3 linked regions of the Notamacropus eugenii genome follow. The protein of the gene in region 1 purifies or fractionates together with the protein of each later gene. This does not show direct contact. Links are inferred from orthologs where the notes say so. Each region holds a gene or a part of one and is shown in the gene's direction. Other genes may lie near its edges.

What was found.
Region 2: the proteins of GNB1 (region 1) and CD81 purify together in Homo sapiens (co-immunoprecipitation; 4 studies listed by BioGRID and IntAct, with this or other methods). This does not show direct contact. The link is inferred for Notamacropus eugenii from reciprocal best matches to the Homo sapiens genes GNB1 and CD81.
Region 3: the proteins of GNB1 (region 1) and PFDN5 purify together in Homo sapiens (co-immunoprecipitation; 3 studies listed by BioGRID and IntAct, with this or other methods). This does not show direct contact. The link is inferred for Notamacropus eugenii from reciprocal best matches to the Homo sapiens genes GNB1 and PFDN5.

What each region holds. Positions count from the first base shown.
Region 1 is NC_092876.1:35,710,815-35,718,773, reverse strand, and holds the start of GNB1 (guanine nucleotide-binding protein G(I)/G(S)/G(T) subunit beta-1), read left to right. Parts: upstream 1-4,890; 5' UTR 4,891-5,029; intron 5,030-7,959. UniProt on the Homo sapiens protein: Guanine nucleotide-binding proteins (G proteins) are involved as a modulator or transducer in various transmembrane signaling systems.
Region 2 is NC_092873.1:25,498,890-25,506,673, reverse strand, and holds the start of CD81 (CD81 antigen), read left to right. Parts: upstream 1-4,743; 5' UTR 4,744-4,873; coding exon 4,874-4,939; intron 4,940-7,784. UniProt on the Homo sapiens protein: Structural component of specialized membrane microdomains known as tetraspanin-enriched microdomains (TERMs), which act as platforms for receptor clustering and signaling.
Region 3 is NC_092874.1:226,235,779-226,243,095, forward strand, and holds the start of PFDN5 (prefoldin subunit 5), read left to right. Parts: upstream 1-4,298; 5' UTR 4,299-4,365; coding exon 4,366-4,437; intron 4,438-4,528; coding exon 4,529-4,631; intron 4,632-4,960; coding exon 4,961-4,992; intron 4,993-6,205; coding exon 6,206-6,280; intron 6,281-6,388; coding exon 6,389-6,494; intron 6,495-7,317. Other genes in the region: ESPL1 (separin), read left to right, coding at 1,909-2,024, 2,204-2,287, 2,523-2,687, 3,068-3,269. UniProt on the Homo sapiens protein: Binds specifically to cytosolic chaperonin (c-CPN) and transfers target proteins to it. Binds to nascent polypeptide chain and promotes folding in an environment in which there are many competing pathways for nonnative proteins.

The sequences.
Region 1 (7,959 bases):
TCTCCCCTCCCCCTCTCTCCCCACTTACACTTCTGCTTCCAATCTCTTATTATAAGATCTTTGCCTCCTTGGGAGATTCCTCGCTCCCTCCTAAGGAAGAATTCCCCCTGCACTTGTAACCAGGACCCTGAATAAAAGCCTAACCCTTGTTCGATTCCGTAAAGTCTCTTCTCTCATACGTTTATCCGGTTTGGCCAACCGAAGACCTGCGATAGAGGTAAGGTAAGACTCGGGTAGCCCTCAGGCCTCTAGGCCTGGCAAGTTTTCCCAGCAGTTTTTGTAAAATAATGAGTTTTTGTGCCAAAAGCTTGGATCTTTGGGTTTATCATATACTAGATTACTATGGTCATTTACTATAATGTAATTTGTACCTAATCTATTCCACTGATCCACCACACTTTCGTTAGCCAGTACCAGATTGTTTTGATAATTACTGTTTTATAATAGAGTTTGAGATCTGATATGCTGGACTGCCTTACAAGGGTACATTTCAAGCACATCCTTTCTTAGGCCCAGAGGGCTCAATGAAACTCTGAAGAACTGAGAACCTGTATCTTTCTTGTCCACTCAGAAAGAAAAACCACCATGTTCATCTAAGTCCAGGCTAAAGGCCTCCTAGAGGAACTGGAAAAGTCCAAGGTTGGTGTCAGAGACCCATGTTCTTGCCTTAGTTCAGTCATTCTCTGTACACAACCTTGGACAAGCCCTTTCTCCTTTCTGGGCCTCAGTCTTCTCCTTTGCAAAATGAGAGATTTGGAATAGATAATTTCCAAAGCCCCTCCCAGCTCCATCACCTAAAATCATAACAGTTTTGTTTTTATCTTTAAGCCTTTAGGAACTAGTACATACTTGACACAGAATAAAATGATTTTCTCAAGTTGATCAAGTAAGGATTGGGCAATGATGAAAAGCTAATTCTTAAGAACATACAAAGTGAGTGCTATCTGATAAAACCCTCTACTTGTCTGGATGAAGTTTGGAGAGACTGCTTCTGGCCATGACGAATGGAAGAGTCAGTTCTGGGTATTGCCTGACTATTCCCTGGTGATTACTGTGTAAAGACAAGGAGCTTGTTGATTGGCTAAGGAGCAGAAGGTGGGTGTGTATACAAGAAGCACAACTGACCAAAATGATCTCAATTGTCCCTGGTGGTGATGAAGGAGGTAGTTAATGTTGTAAGCCTCTGGTTGCAGAGAGACACAGCTCCAATAGAAATGATATTCCCTGAAAGACTGTGATGAAAAGAGTTACTCCATCCATCCACTACCCTTCACTCAGAGATCAGTGAATCAGTCAACTACTGTGTACCAGGTACTGTGCTAAGCACTGAGGTTACCAAAAAAGGCCAAAAAAGAAAAAAGACAACACCAAAAAAAAAGCCCAAAACCAGTTCCTTCTCTCAAGGTGATCATAGTCTAATTGGGAAAACAATAGATCAATAATTATTTACAAGTAAGATGTAGATAGGGTAGTTGGGGGTAGCCTCTCAGGAAAGGCACTAAGATTAAGGAGGACTAAGAAAGGCTTTCTGTAGGAGATGCCACTTTAGCTGAGACTTGAAAGAAGTCTGGGAAGCCAGGAGGTGGAGATGAGGAGGATGTTCCAGGCATGGGGAACTCTTATTAATTTCCATATCTAATTAATTTGTCAAGTCTTATTGATTCTACCTTTTCAACATCTCTCACATCAGCTCCTCTTCTCTCCACTCACTTTATAGATACCCTGATTCAATCCTGCATCACCTGGATTACTGTAGTAGCATCTCCACTGATCTCCCAGCTTCTGGTCTCTTTCCTCTCAAGTTATCATCTCCAAATTTCTGCCAAATTGATATTCCTAAGGAGCAGAAGCTGGGCATGCTAAAGAACAAACTTGACTGTGTCATTCACCTGCTTGAGAAATTTCAGAAACTGCCTCTAGGATAATATAATGTTAATTAGATCTTCCCCACCCATAAATAGGCCTCAAGGACCTTTTGTTAATTTTTATTGAGACCCTAGGTCAGAAGGTCATGCCCTCCAGCTCTGAAAAGGGTATACATACTCTGAGGTGAAGTTTTACTTTGGGGATTAGTTTTTGGAAGAAGGTTTGTGTTCCAGATGAGACTCTGAGAAGCTGCTAAGGAGCTCTCCGGCTTTGAAAACCCAGATTTTGGTGCTTCTTTCTCTGGTAACTATGTATCTATAGTTGGACAGTTGGATCTATCTGCTGATCTGTGATGTATGTACTGCTTATGGTCAGGCAGTTGGAAGCCCTGTCTGTTGATGTTTATTTCTCTGTATTTTCTCTGAAGTTCAGGATGCTGACTTTTTCCCCTGAACTAAGTGAATAATATATACGTGCTTGATGAAAGTGGTTTCATTAAGTTGTCTTTTCTTTTAGAAAAGCAGATCAGACCTGTACAGCAGGCCCTCCTGTGTATGTCAGGGTGCTTGCTTATAAGATAACAACTGCAACAAATAAGAATAATAAAATAGCTAGCATTTATATATGGATCAGGCACTGTACTAAGTGCTTTATCATCTCATTTGATCCTCAGAACAACTCTAGATGGCAACTACTATTATAATCCCTATTTTAAGTTGAAGAAACTGAGGCAGAAGTTAAGTGACTTGCCCAGGGTCACACAGCTAGCTAGGGTCTGAGGCCAAATTGAACTCATTTTTCTGACTCCAGGCCCAGCAACTCTACCTGTACCCACCTCAAAGGAAATCCTGACTTTTGTTTAGTGTTTAAAGACTTCAGAATCTGGTTCCAATCTATCTTTTTTTCTAAACAAATAAACAGATACATTTTTATTGATTTATTGCCTAAATTTGTCCCTTTTTCTCTTCCTTTCCTCCCTCAGTCACCACATAATTTTTTTAAAGATGAAGTAGGAAAAAAAAATCACAAAACAATCAATATATTGAAAAAAGTCTGAAAATATATGCCATGTTCCACCCCTATGGACCTACTCCCCATGCAAAAGCATGAGGATAGACCTTTTCTCCTATCTTGTCTTCCCATTGGCCCTTGTTCTTCGTAATTTTGCAGCATTGCTTTTCAGGAAGAGTCTGACTTGACTGAACAACAAAAAGAAATGTCATTCTCAGGGCATTCTCCCAGGTTATTGCCCCTTCCTCCCCCATGCCCAGAATTCTCTGCCTCCTGGCTCTCTTCTAGGCCCAGCTAAAAACCCCATCTCTACAAGGAGCCTTTCCTGGTCCCTCTTAATAGGTGTGTGTTCCCTCTAATGATCACCTCCATATTATCCTGCATATATGTCCTGTTTTTCCAGGGTTGTTGGCATCTTATCTGTCTCCCCCAATGAGGACTGGGAGCTCCTTGAAAGAAGGGACTGTTTTTGTCTTTCTTTGTATTCCCAGCTTAGTATAGAGCCAAGCATATAATAGGAGTTTAGTAAATGTGCACTGACTAACAGAGGTTTGCTGGATTGAATCGAACAGAAGAGAGTAGGTGCTTAATAAATGCAGGTTGGATTGTATGGAACAGAAGACAGTGGGTGCTTCATAAATGCCTGTTGGATTGCATTGTGTGGAGCAGAAGACAGTGGGTGCTTCATAAATACGGGTTGGATTGCATGGAACAGAAGACAGTAGATGATTAATAAGTGTGGGTTGTTGGATTGCATTGTATAGAACAGAATACAGTGGGTGCTTAATAAATGCCTGATGGATTGTGTGGAACAGAAGACAGTGGGTGCTTCATAAATGCCTGTTGGATTGTATGGAACAGAAGAGAGCAGGTGCTTAATAAATGCGGGTTGGATTGTATGGAACAGAAGACAGTAGGTGCTTCATAAATGCCTGTTGGATTGTATGGAACAGAAGAGAGCAGGTGCTTAATAAATGCGGGTTGGATTGTATGGAACAGAAGACAGTGGGTGCTTCATAAATGCCTGTTGGATTGCATTGTGTGGAGCAGAAGACAGTGGGTGCTTCATAAATACGGGTTGGATTGCATGGAACAGAAGACTGTGGATGATTAATAAGTGTGGGTGGGATTGCATTGTACGGAACAGAAGACAGTAGGTGCTTCATAAATGCCTGTTGGATCGGGTGGCACAGAAGACAGTAGGTGCTTCATAAATGCCTGTTGGATCGGGTGGCACAGAAGACAGTAGGTGCTTCATAAATGCCTGTTGGATCGGGTGGCACAGAAGACAGTAGGTGCTTCATAAATGCCTGTTGGATTGGGTGGCACACAAGGGAGCGGGCGCTGAATAAATGCCGGTCGCCCTGCATTGTATGGAACAGAGGAGAGGAGGGGCCCCGCCGGCGCCCTCCCCCTCCCCCGCCCCCCCCCCCTCCCCAGCCCGGGGCGGTGGCCGGCGGGGCTCCGGGCGGGTGGGAGGACGTAGAAAGGAGAAGGAGCAGCAGTCCGGCTCCCGGCTCGCTGGCTCGCCCGCAGGCAGGCTGGCTGGCTGGCTGGCTGGCTGGCTGACTGGCTGGCTGGCTGGCGCGCGGCGCATGCGCCCTGAGGCGGGGCGGGCGGGCGGGGGCGGCGGCGCGCGGAGGGGGAGGGGGAGGGGGAGGGGGCCGGTGGGCGGGGGCGGGCAGGGCGGTGCGTGGGGTTTCCCGAGGCTGCGGGCAGGGGCCCCCGCCGCGCCCATCGCCGATGGCTGGAGGGATCTGAGGGGCGGACGGAGGCGGCGGCTGCAGCGGCGGGAGCCAGGCCGGGCGCGCGAGGCCGGGGGCGCGAGGGCGGACGCGAGAGGACGAGCGCGAGAGCGGGAGCGCGAGCGGGAGCGGGAGCGCGAGGGCCGGGGCAGCGGCGCGAGCCGGGGCGGGGGAGCAGCAGCAGCGGCCTCGACACGCCCGCCCAGGACCCTCCGGCCGGCCGGCTGACCGACGGCCCGACCGACCGACGGACCGAGCGACGCCGACGGCCCGCGGGAGCCCGGCCGGCCCGGCCCAGCCCGGCCCAGCCCCGGCGGCGGAGGAGCAGGAGCAGGAGGAGGCCCAGGCGCCCAGGCCCCCGCGGCGGCGGACGAGGCCCCCGCCCGTTCATGAGCGGCCCCGCCGAGGTAAGCCCCCTCCCGGCCCGCGCCCCCGCCCGCCCGCCTCGTGGGCGCCCCTCGACCCGGCCGCGGCCCCCGAGCTGGGGCTCCCGGACCCCCGGCCGGCCCCGCCTCGGCGCCGGGCCCGGCATCCCCGTCTCCATGTTTCCTCCCTGCCCCCCGCATCCTTCCCCCGGGCCCCCCGGCCGGGGAGGGGGCCGCGTGTGTCCGCACCTGCGCGGGGCCGCGGCGGCATTTTGCCTCTTTCTCGGTAAAAATAGCCACCCAAAGAGGTAAAAGTCAATTTGGGCACTTCTGCCCCCTCCCCCATCTTCTACCCCAAAAGTGGGTGGGTTGGTGCTTACGCGGCCGGGGGGGGGGGAAGGAAGGGGAGCAGGGAGTGTTCGCTGGGCCCCCGGGGTCGGGCGGTGGGGAGCCTCGTGGGCTTCCACGCGCGCTCGTGATGTCCCCCAGACCCTCCGCAATGGGGAGCCGGCGCTGGAGAAGGGCTTGGAAACTGATCCCCAAGAGCGGAGTGAAAGAGATTTTCAAGAAGGCAGCTGGGTGTAGTGTGACGGGGGACAATCGATTAATCCAAAAGGGGGTGTCGGCGTGGGCGAACCCCAGCCCCCCAAAAGAAGCCCCCAGAGTTGGGGGGGTGAGTGTTGTAGCCGAAAGCGCGCTGGCAGGAGCTGCTGCCCAGCGTGTGCCTGTGCATTTCATCCTTCTGCATCTGGGAGGGTGGTGCTTTTTTTTGGGTGCATGTAACTGGAATATGTAAGATCATGGAGGATGTGTGCCAGAACAGAGTAAGGGAGCGAGTCTCCATGGAAATCATTGCTAGAATATGGAGTTAAAAATACCCCAACAGCCTATTGTGAGAAGTTCAAGATTCTTGGGAGAAAGTGAGATTTTTCTCCCACAAAAATGGGATTCTGATTCTAAGCCAGTAAACAAAGGAATAGGAAGCGGTAAATACTCTGGAAGAGGAGAAGGGGAATAGGGTTTCCTTACCTTCTCTCCACCCCCCCTCCTTCTTTCGGATTTTTTTAAATAGAGGTTATTTCAGGATGCCAGTTTGTCACTTGCACGGGATTCGTTGAGATTTTAGCAGATGTGGCTTGAAAATTTTTGTAACAAAATCACTTGGGGCACAAAACGCTTAACTTTAAAATGCATTTTTCCTTTGCCGATGACTTCCACGTTACAATTTTAGACACTGAATGCTTATTTAAAGAAGACAGGAACAATAAAATGAGGAAGCTGAGAACCTACTAAACTTGGGGGTTTTTTGGGGCAGCTGACTAAAATGAGGGAGGGGATTTAAAACAGAAACAAAGACCTGGGAGAAGTCAAGAGGCAGCTGTAACCTCGTGAAACGTGCACCCAGCCCTTGGCTCTGCTGCCGAGCGCGGAGCTGCTTCAGAGGGGGCTTGGGGGGAGGGATGAGGTGCAAAACGATGGCCCCCCAGAGGGCTCCGCGCCCCGCGGGGGGCAGCGGGGCTGGCCTGGGGCAGGCAGGGCACGGCGGCCGCCTGGCCCGGTGCAGACTGCCTGGGCGGGGTGGGGGGAGAGTTCTCCCCTCATCCTTGCTGTGAATGAATGGGTCCTTCTGTGCCTGGGCCCAGTAACTGCAACAAGATGGCGTTTCCACCCGGGCTGTAGCTCTCTCCTTCTCGAAGCTCCCCTCTCTTCACAGCTTTACTGAATTACATTCTGGGGTTTTGTTTGCATTTTGCATCGGTTGGCTTTCGTTTGCATGATTTGAGCAGACTTCGGAAGAGGAGGGGGGTAAGAAGGGAAGTGACTCCAGTGACTAGGTTTCTTCCTATTTTTCTTGAAGGGCTTCTCTTCAAACTGAAGACCAGTGGGAGGAGTAAATAGTTCAATTGAAAATTCCACCTAGATGGTAACTGGAACAGGGGAGAATGTGAATTTTTACCTCTTGCTGTATCATTTCAGACTGTTTTCTTTATGTAATATCTGATTATTTTGTTCACGTTAGCTCTTAAAAATACTTTATTAGCTCAGCACTTAAACGTACTGAATTTATTAACATTACAAAAATAGAATTTTTCCACCTAATCTACTTGTTGCTAGATCATTGTTGCTCTTTTCTGGGGGAAACTTTATAAAAGCTTTAAAATTGTGGTTGAGCTAACTAACATGTTTCTGTGGATAGTTTTCGCTTAGTGAAAGAAAATTTTGTTTTGGAAAGGGAAGTGGGAAAAGTCAGTTAAATAGCACATCATAAATTAGAAGTAATATGTATTACTTAGAGTTTGGGGGAGTTAGCATGCTTTTTGTATTTTAAATTTGTTATACACAGCAAGGACTATGACATATCAATAATCTGAGGTCGTATTGGGTACTAAAACAGCATTGCTTGTCTACTTTATTATTAAAGTAACCAATGATAGTTTTGAATAGTTTCACAATTATGAAATGTTCAGGTTGACCCCTACTGTCTGATAGTCATTCTCTTTATTTTCCATTGTACATGTTCCATTAGTACGTAGTGCATAATAGAGTCCAGAAAATCTTTTTTGGCATGGGTGGGTGAGACAGCCCTTGTCTGAGAGTAAGGATTCAGGGTGCAACTTAGGTGAGGGTGTGAGGATTTCTAAGGGAGCTAGTGTTTTGGGGGGGGGGGGTCATTTAACTGTTGATGGGAATGAAATTGATCTGGGCTGTATTACTCCAGAGAACAACATCAGAACCAGTGGGTGGGAGGCTCCAGGCAGCCAGGGGTTGATTCAGTGTAAGAGTTTTCTAATGATTAGAGCACCCCCCAAAAGAGAATGGGGGCTGTTTTGGGGAGGGGGGCCAGTCAGCAAGAGTTTTCAGACTTAGGCTCCCATTGTTCAGGGACAGAGAACCTTGGGCAAATCTTAGATCTTTCTCTCTAAAATGACAGGGTTGTGTTGGAGGATCTCTAATGTTCCATCTGAAGCTCA
Region 2 (7,784 bases), on another chromosome or scaffold:
GATAAAATCAATGTGGGCTCTTGTCTGATCCATTTAATGCAGATAGGAAAGCTGTGGGGCCCAACTAGAGAGCCCAAGGGCCCACAGAGGCACAGAATCAGAGCAGGCAAGGACCCTTCGGCTTCCAGGCCAGCCCACACTGTAGTAGAGAGGAATCCCCATCCTGACCAGCAGACTTTGATACTGACCAGTGTTGGTGCCCTCCCCCCTCCACCTCACCCCTGAGAAGTCTTTTCCATGATGGGACAGTTATATCTCATTGTTGGGAAGCTTCTCCCCCACTGGGCTCAGTCTTATCCTCCAGAGACAAACTGGACAGTCTGCTTAGTTTTGAAGATAGCCCCACGTCCCTCAAATCTTCTCCTTCAACTGATCCTCCTTCCTCATCCTTCATTGGGACACTCTCCACTTAGCAATGAATGGCCTTGTAAGCCCAGAACTGACCAGAACACGCAGATGGGTCTTAGCAGGACAGAGGATGGGGCCTCCATATTCCTGGAAGAGATCTCTCTCTTTATTCAGCTTCTGGCTGCCATGTCACATTATCTCCCATCTCTCGGCCTCTTCTTCACTGTTTCCCATGCCCCATCTCCACCCCTACCTTCCCTAGCTTCCTTCAAAACTCAGATCAAATCCCACCTTGTTCAGGAAACCTTTCCAAGAGAAAAAGACAGAAACAGACAGACAGGGACAGACGGACAGAAGGACAGGAATTAGAAGCAATGGGATATTTTGAATTCTTTTGAAAACCTGTACTCTCCTTTTCCTGTTAATGTTATTACTGTAAGGGGATGACTAGAGAACACCCAGTTTAAAATTTCTAGTAGCAACCCCATCTGCAGAACACACACATCTGGTTCCTCATGTCTTGTCTCCCCCGTAAGACTGAATGGCTGGAGATGGCCCTCAGCTGTAACCTGGAGCCAGCCGGTCAAGGACAAATCCTCTTTGCAACAGTCGGCCCTTTGGACTTGCAAAGACAGCAATCATGCATCCTCTGACTCCAGCTCTGCTTTGGCTAGAAACTTTGAGGGTCTTCCTTCTCAGACTGAATTTTTGTTGTTGACTAGGTAAAGAGGTCATTCTTTGCTTTATTTCTTACCTTGCCTTAACCAGTGAATGGGCACTGCCTCAGTCAAACTGAGACTTGGGAAAGACCTCAGCTTCAAAAGGCATCCTGGGCTATCTCTGGTCGTTCTGATCTGCATCTCACTACTGGACGCAGGGGGCTCCGGAGGAGAAAATGAGGCCAGCGATTTTGCACAGCCCTGCCTCACTTCGATCCAATTTAGGTGCATATCCTGGAAGGACAAACAACTTCTGTGAGTGGAGAATAGGGTCCCCATTGGGGACCCAACTGGAACTGGCCAGTTGGGCAACACAGCTTTATTTCTTCTTCTTCCTCCCTCAGTCCCTCTCTCCCTCCCTCCTCTCCTCTCCTCTCCTCTCCTTCCTTCCTTCCTTCCTTCCTTCCTTCCTTCCTTCCTTCCTTCCTTCCTTCCTTCCTTCCTTCCTTCCCCTCTCTCTCTCTCTTTCTCTCTCTCTTTCTTTCCTCTCTATCCACATAGGGTATTATATTCTTATCTGTGGGTACTCTGCCCAAAGGAATGTAATATTTCATCCCTGAAAGCTTTTTTTCCCCTTAAACATCACTCCTCAAACCCAAATCACTTTGGTTCTCATTGACTGGCCAACAGGAGATTCCAGGTCAAGGCCTTGATTGACTCAGAGTGACTGTAGATAGCAATTGTTTCTGTTTTGGTCTGAAACCCTGATGGTCTTCCCTCCCTAGATTGATTTTTTTTTTAATTAAGTAAAGAGGATATTCTCTGCCTCATTTCTTACCCAGCCTTAATCATTGAATGGATGTTGCCCCAGTCAAACTGAGACCTGTCCAAGACCTTAGCTTAGGTCTAGCCAAAGTCCCCATTGCATCCCAGCCATCTCCAGTTGTCCTGATCTACATCTCACCAGTGGATTCAGATGGCTCTGGTGGAGAAAGTGAGGCTTGTGACTGCACAGCCCTCCCTTACTTCTATCCAATTCACTTGTGTGTCTTGGCATCACCTCCCTGACGTCAAGGTCCTCTTTGAGAACCAAGGACAGTCAACAACAGACTGACCTGCTTGAGAGATGGAAGTCTTTACTCATTTCTTTGGCTCTCCATCACTTAGCAAAGTGCTTGATCCACACAAAGCTCTTCATAAGTGTTTGCTGGATGGTTGGCATGGCAGCGTTGTTGGACATTGTTTGGGGCTGGAGGCCGATTCATCTTCCTGTCTGTGTGAGGGCTCGTCCTTGTCTCCTCATCTTTCCCCTAAGAAGAAGCTGAACCCCTTTATCAGATGCTGGACAAAGCTCTGGCCACCAGCTGCTTGCAGTGTGCCCCTTGATCTGGGGTCTTGTCGCCCTCTTCCCAGCACAGTTTCTGAGTGATGGCACCTCTGGCACTACCAGTGCTCCCACCTCCTCCTTTTCCAGATGCTTGTTTAATGGGCCCTAGAATTTTGCCAGAAAGCAGTCCTGTTCACAGGCCCCCAGGTTGCAGACTTCTCTGTTATGACTATGGGGGCACACACCCTTGGGCAACTCTGCTCCTGTTCTCTCTGACCACTCAAACATCCATTCAGACTGTGGCTCCTCAATCACTGGCCCATTCTTTTGGGACCTGGGCACATGTGTGTGTCCCTCGGTGCTCTCCTTAGCTTAGGGATCAACCGTCTACTAGCTTTTATCATTCCTTTATTTACAGGCGAAGGTCAGGCTCTTTGGGGGCTGGGGTGGGAGCTGAAGCAAAACCCAAGGTGAGCAGCTCTGTCTTTTATCTGGTCCAACCAGAGCAGAAGGGCTTATCTTTCCTTTGATTATGCCCTGCTTGGGCCAAGATTTGGACTTCTTGGGGCAACCCTGAGGGGCTAGGATTTTTAGTATTGTCATTCATGGGTCCCTACTAGTGTGCTTCCAAATAATTATCAACCAGTAGCTCAGTTGGCTTAGAGTAATGGTGTTTAATGAGGAGGGACGGTACAAAGGGTTGATACAAAAATTGTCCCAATCAGAAACATTCTTAACCAGCACACCCAGTGATGGGAGAGCATTGAGCCCAAAGGTAAGAAGGCACCAGTGTAGGGGAAGTGTGTCAAAGGATACCCTCACAGCTCTTGGGGAGCACAAGGCCTTCTCTCTCTGTCTCTCAGTCTTGTCTTCATGTAGTTGCTTCCTTATAGCTCTCTACTGGTCCCTGAGGGTCAATATTTTGGTACAATCCACCCTGAGGGGGGTTCTCACTACTTGAAGTTGCTTCTCTCTTGGTTGGCCATCTTTGTACATCTGCGTTTGTGTGTATTTGTCAAGATTTGCTTTCTGAGTCACCGGCTCTGTTCCAAGCTGAATTTGTGTGTCATGGTCATTGTGGGGTAGGGATTGGCATGCCCCTGCCATTTGCTGCGCTCTCATAGAGGTGTAGGGCTCTGCCACCTCAGGGCCCTGCAGAGCCTAGGGTCCTCCTCAGTGGATGCACTGCTGCGCAGGCCCTGGGAGTGTGTCTGAGTGGGTCAAGTTTAAGGTATCTGTGGGATATCATTCTGAGATGTGTAAGTGGCAGCTGGAGATGCAAGCTGGGACCTTAGGAGAGAGGTGAGGGCTGGATAAACGGATCTGGGAAACAACAGCACAGAGCTGATGGCTACATCCGTGGGATCTAACGGGAGCGCCAGGTCAAAGACTGAGCTTTCCTCCCTTTCCAGAGCCCCCAGCCCAGGACATTTCCAATTCCATCCCAGCAGCCCCTCCCACTTCCCAATGCAATGAGTTTTGCCTCCTATCTCCATTGTCTAGCAGCCTCCCCTGCTTCAGCGCCCTGGCTCAGGGATTTAGTTAGGACCGGAATAGAAATGGCTGCATCTCTCTGGCCCTTTCCGGTTTGCGGAACACTTTGGGGAAGAGAATTAGCGCCCCCGCCCCCGCCATTTTCCAGATGAGCGAATTGAAGCTCAAAGAGAGAAGTCCTGGGGAGCATGGGCAGAACTCTAACCCAGGGCCTCGACACTCCTGGGAGCTGGTGGTGAGAGAGACAGACAGGCAGAGAGACAGACAGGCAGAGAGACAGACAGACAGACAGACGGAGGGAGACAGGGAGGGAGGCCACAGGCCAGTGGACCCACCGGGCTTTTCGCTCGGAGCCCCCCAAGATGAGGGCTCGGGACCCGGGAGAGCGCGAGGAGCCCGGACCCGGGGAGCGCCCCCACCCACCCCGGAGGGCCCGGGGCTTCAGCGATCGGTGAAGCCGCCGGCTTTAGGCGGCCCTGGGCCTGGTTGGACAGCGCCGAGCCCGGCTCCTTCTCCTCCGGCCTCCATCGCCGGGCCCAGGGCTCAGCTGGGGAACCGACCGGGTGGTCCCGGGCCCGGCACGGATGCCAGGCTGTGCCCCCCTCCCCCGCCCTGCCCCCGCAGGCGGGATGCCCGGCCCAGGGGCGAGGGGGAGGGGCGCCCGAGAGCGGGGGGCGGGGCGGGGCCTGTCCCGGAGGGCGGGGCGGGGGCGGAGGAGGAGGGTGGCCACTGAGCGCGGAGCAGAGCCGAGCCAGAGCGGTGAGCTCAGCGAGCGCGGCGGCGGCGTCTGCGGAGGTGCGGGCGCTGCGCGAGGCCGAGCAGCCAGCCGGAGCCCCCCGAGCTCCTCCCAGAGCCCCCCGAGCCCCCCGAGCTCCTCCCAGAGCCCCCCGAGCCCCCGGAGCTCCCCCCGGAGCCCCCCCGGAGCCCCCCCCCGAGCCCCCGGAGCTCCTCCCAGAGCCCCCCCGACCCCCCGGAGCCCCCCCGAGCCCCTGGGCCCAGCGCCCCCTGAGCGCACAGCCCCGGCCCAGCCCCCGCCGCCGCCGCCATGGGGGTGGAAGGCTGCACCAAGTGCATCAAATACCTGCTGTTCGTCTTCAACTTCGTCTTCTGGGTGAGTGGGGGGCCGGCGATCGGGGGGCGGGGGCGGGCCTGGGCGTGGGGGGGTCCTGGCCTGCGGCCGCCGCGATGCGTGTGTGTATGCATGGTGTGTGTGTTGGTGTGGTGTGTGTGTGTCTGTCTGGTGTGTGTGTGTGTGTGTGTGTGTGTGCGTGCGTGGTGTGTGTGCGTGCCTGTCTGTCTGTCTGTCCGGTGTGTGTACGCGGTGTGCGTGGGCACGAACGTGGGGACTTGGGGGGCACAGACAATGGAGGCGCTTCCGAGGGCGCGGATGTTTTGCCAGGGCGATCGGCCCCAGGGAGGGGCGTCCCCAAGGACTGGGAGCGAGGGGAAGTTGTCCAACCACCTGCGAGCGCCTGTCCCTCGGTCCCTCGGTCCCTCGGTCCCTCAGTCGGTCCGTCCAGGCCTCAGTGGGGGCGGTCGGAGCCCGCAGCTGTTGCTGGGCAGCTCTCCCCGCAGGCGCTCTGGGGTGTGGGCACAGCCTCTCTCCGGCTCAGCCCCCTGTGACGCGGGGCGGGGCGCTGGGGGAGCCCTCGGCGTGGGCCTGTGAGTGGGGGCCACCTCGCTTGGGGCCTGGACCGGACTCCCCTCGGATAACGGCCTGGCAGGCCGGGGGGGAGTGGCTCTCGATCCCAGTGGAGCCCCACTCGGGAGATTCCATGACAACCTCGGCTCGGGCCTAGGCCCCACTCGGAGGGGCTGGAGCCAGGCTTGCTCACCCTCCCACGGAGGGGAGTGGACAAGTCCTGCATGAGGGGGACCCAGACCCTGCCAGCCCTGGCATGGGCACCTTCCCCTGGGTTGGCTGCTGTGGGAGCTCACCCAGAAGGCTCGAGATTCGCTTTCTCATGCAGAGGGCTGGGGAAGCTGGCCAGAACAGGCTCCTAGGGAATGTTTGCTGAAGCCACGAGGGAAGAGGGAAAGGGGCGTCTTTCACCCCCCCCCCCCAAAAACGTACATTTCCTCTAAGGTAGGCCAAGTTTCTGAGTGGTGACACCCAAGGCAGGTGACTAGGGGACAGGGCAACCTTTCAGACCCCTTTGGGTTCCAGCTCTGTTCTAAGGGTAAGCAAACAAGTTGGTCTGCCCTTCCTGGGCACGTGGGCCCCTTCCCTCCTGTGGCCCTGCCCCGCCTGCCAGAATCCTAGCTTTAGTGAGCTTGTGTGTTATGTGTAATCTTTGGGTCTTTCTCCAAGGGTGAAGGGCCCTGGGAGGAGCCTGGACTAGGACCACCGGTGGTGCTGGCTCCCCATTCTAGAGCTCCCCAAGGTGTGCAGAGCCCAGGTCCTGCCTGCTAAAGATTACCACCTGTAGTCCTTCGATTTTGTCAGTAAGGGCAATAAAATGAGATTAAGGCCTTGGTGCCCCTCCCCCTTCCCCTGTTTTCCCTTGGGCTCTCTGCCTCCCTCGGGGCTCTGTGTCTTCAGTTGCCGCCTGGGCTGGGGGCTCGAGCTTTCTCTCTCCCAGCCTTAGGTTTTGTGTTTTGTTTTCTGTTTTCCTGGCGTTAGGTTTTACTTTCTGTTGACCCCTGTTCCAGAGGTGGGGGAGGGGGTTTTGTTTCAGTTTCCTGTGCTCAGATTCTTGCTTAATTTTGGAGGGAGGGATGAGCAAGCTGGTGTGTGCGGGTCTCCCTTGTGCAGGCCTGTTCCCTTGCTCTCCTCAGATATCCCCGGGGGACTCTGGGCTCTTGCCCAGGGGGTCCCTTCCTTGGCAGGCAGCCCCCTCAGGTGGAGGGCTCTCAGCCTGATGCCCCCTTTCCCCTTTCATGGAAGGTAAGTGGTTTCCAAGTGGCAGCTTGGGTGGGGTACGTTGTCTGAGCTGAGCAGGGCAGCTAGCCGGTGCAGGTTTGGGGGTCTGGGATGGAGATGGGACTTGTGTGCCTGGAATTCCCCAGAGGGAGCCCTCTGGCCCCCAGGCACCTGGTCTCTAGCCCTGCTGCTGGACACCATGCTCAATAGGAGTGGCTGTCCTTTGGACAGCTCACCTGCTGCTGGCCTGGGAAGGGCAAATAGCAGAGCCCTTATTTGGTAGATGGGCACCCAGAAAGGCAGGAGCCAGGCTGGCCCATGGTGGCTCATGTCAGGAGAGCCAGAGTCTAGACCTGATGCTGGTGCTAACTGATTGTGACCAGGCATAGGCCCTGAGAACAAATGTGAACTTTGCCACTTCTCCCTGTGTGACCCCTCCCCGGTCTCAGTTTCCCCATCTGTAAGATGGACCAGATAATCTTAATTCCCTTCCACCTCTCAGTCTATGATCCCATGTCACTTCTCCCTCTTGAGGCTCAGTTTCTCACTGCCAAGTAGGGGGTGAACCCTACTTTGCTTCCCTCCTAGAGCTGGCCCTGGAGGGTCCAGTTTGGGGAAGGATTGGCACTTCCTGGACCCAAGAGGATGGCACAGAGAGGGTGGGGACCCTTTGAATGTTCTCAACCCTTTCTCACCCCCAACCTCTGAGGTACAACAGACAGAAGGTGACAGAGAACAGCCTTGAGGTTGGGAAATGTGTGTGTACCCAGTTGTTGGGACTTTCTGACCTAGGGAGCCCTGGAGTGCAGAAGAGGGTGCTGTGACCCAGGTTTGTCTTCTGTTCCCCCCGCCCCCAGTGCGTTGGTGGAGCTCTGAGGTTGGCTGGAAGAGGAGGGGGGAAGTGAGTGGTGAGCCTCAGGATGAGGTTTGTGGTCAGGATGCAGGGTCTTCATGATCAGACTGGGGCTCCCTGGGCTTCGGAGGGGTCACCTGCCACAGCGATAGGCTGTTAGGGCCAACCTCAGGAAGGGGCAGGTGGTTAACTGATAAACAAGCGCAATTTTGAGCGCGCATGTTTCCGTTCTCTTCTCCT
Region 3 (7,317 bases), on another chromosome or scaffold:
GGTCACTAGAATCATATGACCAGCACTGTTCCTCACAAACCAGAATTCTGGGAACTACCTACAGAGCAGGTGACTATGCCTTGAAAACTTGATGGCCACTCAACCCTCATTCAGAATTTGTGCCTTTCACTGAAAATCAGCAGTAGCCCCAGGCCTTTCTGCTGGCTTACAGCTTTTCACATTGCATATTCTTTATATACCCTCTAGGGTCGTGCTCAGGGCATAGCTTCATCTTATGGGGAGATTTAAACCCAAGTGTAGCTGGTCATACTTGCTTCAAGGCTTCCCTAGTAATCCAGTATCATTCATGGTTCTTGCTGTTGTGATAGGTCACTACAACCTTATTCATCAGGTTTGTGCCTTTACCATCCTTCAAGCTAGAAAGCCCTCAGTTCTTGCATGTCCATCAGTGCTTAGGTTTGTGACTTTCTCCATCTCAGAGTGACTGTCCTTGTCCTGGCAGATAACAATGGCACATGTGTTCCTCCATTCTGGCTCCTTCCAGGGCCTCCTATCCACCTGTCATGTCTGCTGGTGGCAGACTGCGTTCCAGTCTATGGCCTTTCCACAAACCTCATCTCATTCTTCTGAAAACTGATGTTTACCCTCCCTCAGACTGACAAAACAAAGGCACCCATCTGATTTTACGATAACATTTATGCTGCCGTGTCTCTTCCAAGACGTTTGAGTTTCTTTATTTTGTCACTGATTTAGTTTGCTGTAACATATAATTATGTTCACATTTCATTCTACTCTACATATAGCCCTTATCACCATTATTTCTTGGTTCCTTTAGGAGAGTTATAAGCAACCTAGACTGACTTTAAATCAAGTTTCATTGAGCCAAGATTAACTTATAAACATGCCAATTAATGTTGTAGGAAGTTCCTCCAGGTGAGGAGTCACAGGTTCCACCTCCATTCAGGGACAGGACTCCTGGAAACTGGAAGACACCTAAATTGGAGCCTTTCCTGAAGTCCAGATCATTATCTCCAATCCAGTGACTACCTTCTTTGTTTCACATCTAACCCTGATTTCTATCAACCCTGTCTATTCAACATTTCCCCTCCTGTTTTCCCCTTCTCACCTCCCCGCCCCCAAAAAAAGATACCCTTTGGGAAGGAAAAAGACTTTATGGTCCAGGCCTCCCTCCCTTTGCTGCTCTGGCTCTCCCCAAGTGGAGTGGGTCAGAGACTTAGCTTTGACTTCTGTTTACTAGCTCTTTCACTGTGGTGTGATCACTTAAACAAGTTCCAGCACTCAAAGTTGTGTGATGGGGCAGGTATGGGCCAGCAGGGAAGCATCCTTTGAGGAATTCAAGGATATAAGTCATGAGGTGCATGAAAGGTTGTGAAAAGGTCACACCCCTGGCCAGGTCTGGATTTACCTCTGACCAGAGGTACATCCATCTGCCTCCCTCGACTTCAACTCCCAAGCCTTTGAAATTAGATTCCCAGCTTTCTGTTTCCCTTAACCCTGGCACCTGCAACTACCTGCCTAACCTAGTTTTAGACCCTTTCGCTTATTCCTGGGATTTTTCTTTTCTAGGCCTTATTGGCAATCCATTCTCTGCCACTCTTTCTGAATTTCTTCTGCATGTTCCTACCCAGTCTATCTCGCTTATTCCTTTTATCTCAGCTAAGAGCTTCCTTGGCTGGCCCCAGTCAAGACCTCTGCTGCCCTCTGCTGTCATAAGTGACACCTAACACTTCTCTACAGCGCCTTGTTAAAGGATGTCATTTCAAGATCATTCTTATATTGGGACTTGATCCCATATCTAAAATAGAGATAATATCTCTAGCATCTGCCCAACAGGCTTGTGGCAAGGCAGTAGAATAAAGACTTAAGACATCAAGGTCCCAGCTCTGTCAGATTAGGGGATAATGAACATTTATCTTACTGATGCAGACCCAGGCTTCATCAGTGTGGAACCGGGGAGTGAATCCACAAAGTACCTTCTACATCCTGAACCCACAGAACAATTTGGGAAACACAGAGGAGCGGTTCCGAGCACGCTTCTGCAGGTGGGATGGGTAAAGAAAGAAGAATGTTCAAGGGTCCACTCCTAGACGCCTGACAGGGAGGGGCGGTCAGGAAAACGGGTTCCCTGGTGTCACCTCTTTAGTATCTCCTTTACTTTGGGCCTTTTTTCCTGTTGTTTTTTCTTCCATTGCACTTTGTTATAGTTTATTCCTCTCCACAGTGAGACTGGCTGGAAGGGACTGGTTGGTGAGGCCCCAAGCCAAGAACAGGTCCAGGCAGCCTTGACAGAGCATGATCTGTATATGTGAGTACTGGGGTGGGAAGAGACTACATCCCCAAAGGGACAAGAATGGGGTCATCTGGGTCCTGTTACCCTTTCTTAGGAGACCTCTTGAAAACTGAGGCTGCAGAACTCTTATTTACTGAGAAAAGTTCTGCAGGAAGGAGCTGTTGATGATGTAGGGGAGAGTGAAAAGAAAGGGTAGTTTAAGGAAGAGAAACTGAGTCACAGGCTGTAGCTCATTCCACTTCTGCATCAGTTATGCAGGGCACGGGGCTGGTGCCTCTTTCCTGGACGGGCAGGCAATCCAGCGGCTCAACTGTCGAGCAGTGGCCTTGTTGTTTGGGTGTAGCAGTGCTGCCCTGGCTGTACAGGGGAACCTGGAGGGGGCTGGCATCGTTCTCAAGTACATCATCGCAGGCTGGTGAGTCTTGACCAGGAGCATTGATTTTGGAGAAATAGAGAACTTTCCCCCAAGCCCCCTCTTCCCTTTCTCCCCCTTCCCCCCCCAGGTGGCTCACTCTAGGGCTTTCTGATTCTCTCTAGCTTTCCCTTTCTCACACACACACACACACACACACACACACACACACACACACACTCCAGCTTTGAATTCTGAGCCATAGCTCAGCCAATTCTTTCCTTTTCTTCATTATCCCGTATCCAGAGCTCTCTTATGGCCCACCTTTGCCCCAACTCTGTCCCCCAAATGAACTGGCAAATGGTTTTGGGTTTTTTTTCCCTCTTAGCTCTTATAGATCTATCCCAGGCCTTTTCTTAACCTCTTTTCCTCTGTTCTTCTAGCCCCCTGTTCTTGGGGAACCTGTGGGATGTGACAGACAGAGAAATAGACCGTTACACAGAAGCGCTGCTGCAGGGCTGGCTGGAGGCTGGCTCAGGAGCGCCCCTCCTCTCCTATGTCATCCAGGCACGCCAGGCTCCCAGACTCAAATACCTCATCGGTGCTGCCCCAGTAGCTTATGGCTTACCTGTCTCCCTGCAGTGATACCCAGAAGAAGTCTCCTTATAGTCCTTACCTCTGGTTTCTTTGTTCAAACACCCTACTTCTGAAAAACCCCCAACTCCGGTTGAATATTTAATTGATTTTTTCAGTATGTGTTTTTACTCACTGTAATAAAGTTATTACTTAAACTTTGTTGTGTCTGGTTTCTCCGGAGGGATTACTAAAAGCATTTCCCAGCCCTTGCCGTGCACCTTCTTTGTTGGTGCTTTGTACTGTTAAGTTTCCACCACCCTGGCTATCCTTGCTTTGTGCCTCCTCTTCTCGTTATTTCACTTAAAGGCCAACATTTAAGGCAGAAGGAGTGAGGAGTACTGAGTGTGGGGCAGTGGTGTGGCCATTAGAGACTAGTGGAACTGACTCTCCCAACAGATAACATTTCTGAGGAGGAGCGGAGGGGCAAGCGGGGTCCAGTGGCCTTTCAAAGACCTTGGCCCTGGCTCTGAGATCCGAGTACCAGAAGGCTGCCTTCCAGGGTGGCCTGGAGGATGTGATGCCCAGTGCGCTCAGTCACCAAGCGCTAAGGGCCTCCTGGTGTGCCAGGAACTGCGGCCGGGGAGCAGGCCGGTGGGAGGAAATCCTTTCCGAAAATCTGCCACTTAGTATCAGAGTACTGCCAGGAGGACTAAGAAACTGACACTTAGGATGCAGCCTGCGCGAGTCGGGCCAGCACTCGAACCCGGGACTCCCGTCCTGCCTCCCCACCTTTTCGGCCCCGAAAGCCTCAGTGAGATGCCCCCTTCCCCGGGGCAGTTGGGGGATCCCGAGCGTGGCGAAGGGAACACGATCCGGACACGACTCTGAGTAGCACTGTATTTCTACTCCGCACACTGCAGGGCAACATGCTGGATACATTATGGCCGGCGGGGCGGGGCGGGGCGGGGCGGGGCGGGGCGGGGGGAGGCTGGGGGGGGGCGGGGGGCGGCGCTCCGGGAGCAGTGGGCCCGCGGGAGGCTGACGGCCCAGGATCATAGAGAGCGCGGGCCGGGCGGGCGCCTCCGGGTGCCATAGAGACGCGGCCGGCGGGTGGCTAGAGCGCCTCCCACGCCCGGCGCGCCCCGCCCTCGCCCAGCCTCCCAACATGGCGCAGTCGGTGAACATCACGGAGCTGTCCCTGCCGCAGCTCGAGCTGCTCAAGAACCAGCTGGACCAGGTGAGGCCGGCCCGGGGCGCCCCGGACCCCGGACCCCGCCCGTCCGCGCCGGGCCCCCCCTCATTCTTGTCTCTCCCCGCGCCCCTTACAGGAGGTGGAGTTTCTCTCCTCATCCATCGCGCAGCTCAAGGTTGTCCAGACCAAATACGTGGAGGCCAAGGAGTGTCTGAACGTGCTCAACAAGAGCAACGAGGGTATGGGGGTGGGGGGGCGGGGGAAGGGGAGGGGGAGAGGGCCGGAGAGGGCGAGGGTGTGGGCTGGGCTTTTCTGTAGTAACCCATCGCCCAAGTTTGAGAAGCAGCTCTTCAGAAAGCCTTCTCTGCCCCCTCCAGCCTCACACCAAAGGCCTTCCATTTCTTTCACACTTTGACTTAAATGCCAAATGTCAGAAGCTCCCCCTTCCTTCTTCTTTTCTCCTCGCTCATTTTTGGTTATCAGATTGAGTAGTTCCAGCCTGGAAAACCTCCTGGTTGGGTTTCCTTTTAGCGTCGTCCCCTGGTGTTTATCTCTGTTACCTTCACAGGGAAAGAATTACTCGTGCCATTGACCAGTTCTGTATCCTTCCACTGGAGACTGCCGGTTTCCTTCCCACCTAGAAAACGGTTTTGGTTCCTTGGGCAGAGTCCTTTCCGTACTTGATTGAAAAAACTCCTCGCTCACATGGGGCCAGAGGATGTTTCTTAGCTACCTTGCCATGATCTAACCTCAGCTCTCTTCAGATACTTAAGTTCAGGTGATCAGTGGGAAGGGAAAGAGTTAATTGCAACTACCTGATTCAAGTTTATACTGGCCCTTTGAGTCCCCTGGAGTCCCCTAATCAGATTGAGTATAAGACAATGTCCTGGCTACCACAGGATTAGTAGAGCTGAGATCAAGCAATATCCTTGTCCCTTAGAAGCTTATTAGTAAACTACATACGAGTCACAGAGAAATAGAGATGAGGGAAGGAAGAAGACTTTGTGGGTATTGCTTCACAATTTGAGATTAACTATCCCTTTACCATGTGTCACTATACTTCAACAGGCTATTCTGGACATTGCCTACGTCAGGTTTATAGAGAAAATCCCTGTATTCTGTAGTCTAATAAACTTCCTTAAACATAAATAAGTACTGATGGAAGATAAACAGTTAACTAATAGACGCTGAATGACTTCACATATAAATACATGTAAATCAGGAGCCAAGTTGTTGGTGGGTTTGGAAGTGAGGCCTGAGTTTTATATTTGGTGGTGGTGTTCAGTCATGCCTGACTCTTCATGACTCCAGATTTTTTTGGCAAAGATACTAGAGTGGTTTGCTATTTCTTCTCCAGCTTATTTTATGCTGGATATGCACACTTTAAAGATGAAGAAATGGAGGCAGATAGGATTATGTGACTTGCCTGGGGTCACACAGCTATGTCTGAGGCTGAATCTGAATTGGTACTCTGTCCACTGTGCTACTTTTCCACTGCCTATATATTTAATAGGCTTGTGGAAAGTTATCCTTTATCAATATGAGTACCAATGGGAGTTAACATTTCAGGAAGAGAAATGGATTTGTTTTTGAATGTGAGCAGGTGGAAATGAAATTTTCAGTTATAGGGCACCTTCTTATGGTTTCTTTAGGGCTCTCTGTTCACAGAGAATGCCTTGACCGTTCTCCTCCTCTGTCCATTTCACACTATACTAAGTTCACAACTCTCTAGCTTCAGAACTTCTGGCTTTTGAGAGGGAAAGTGAAGGTGTCCCAGGCTGGGCCAGCCCTTTCCTTAATCCTCACCCCTCAGATGTATGTACCTGGGAAGCTACATGATGTGGAGCATGTTCTCATTGATGTAGGAACTGGCTACTATGTGGAGAAGGTAAGTTGGTGCAAGAGGAGGGGTTGGGAGATGGCATCATTGACAGGACAGTTGGGATATCTCTCCCCAAGAGTCCATGAGGGTCATTAACTTCTCCTCCTTTGGCAGTCAGCAGATGATGCTAAAGACTTCTTCAAGAGGAAGATTGACTTCCTCACTAAGCAGATGGAAAAAATTCAGCCCGCTCTGCAGGAGAAGCATGCCATGAAGCAGGGTGAGCCCCTGGGTTCTAGGTCGAGTGAACCTCCTTTTTGTTTGATTCTAGGCCTATCACTGTCTTCCCATCTTTCTCTGTTGCCTTTGTCTTTCTCTGGGTGTTATATGTGCTTGACTTGGCAATTACCACATATCGAGTACCCCCTGTGAGCAGAGATGTGCCAGCTCTGGAGGGTAGTCCCAGTTTAGTGGAGGGTAAAAAAACACGTATACCTCTGAAGATCTGTGACTTCATCAGTGTAGGGGCTCCCTCCGTGGCACAAGTTACAACTCATCCACATTCTATGAGCATGTGCAGTTCTTGTCTTTGTCTTTCCATTTCTCCATAGCTGATCTACCCAGTGGGCTGGTAGCATTCCCTTGACTCTTTTAACATTTCCAGGGTGCCAGTGTAGCAGTCTGTCTGCCCATCTGTTACACAACTTCTTACTCTAACTTCTTTGGTAATACGCCACACCCTACTTTTGCCTACCATGCAGCTTTTCACTGCACTTTGGGTCAGCTGAGTGTTGATTCTTTTGAGATTGTAGAATTCCATGCTTCACACTCATAGCATCATCTGGAAACTACCGTGGATAAAAAGAAGGGCTTTTGTGGCAGGGATCAGTTTGTAATTACACGAAGTGGTATTCAGCTGCCCCGCTGTAATTCAACCCGATCTTAAACTACCTATTCATTTCAGGACCCAGCTCATCTGGGCTACCTGTAATGCCTTTGTGAGATAAATATGTACTGAGAGACTAACTCAATGGGCTCTCTGTGCAACTGCATGTCATAATTTGGACAATATTCATTCTTCATCCACTTGTTTTTTCCTGAGT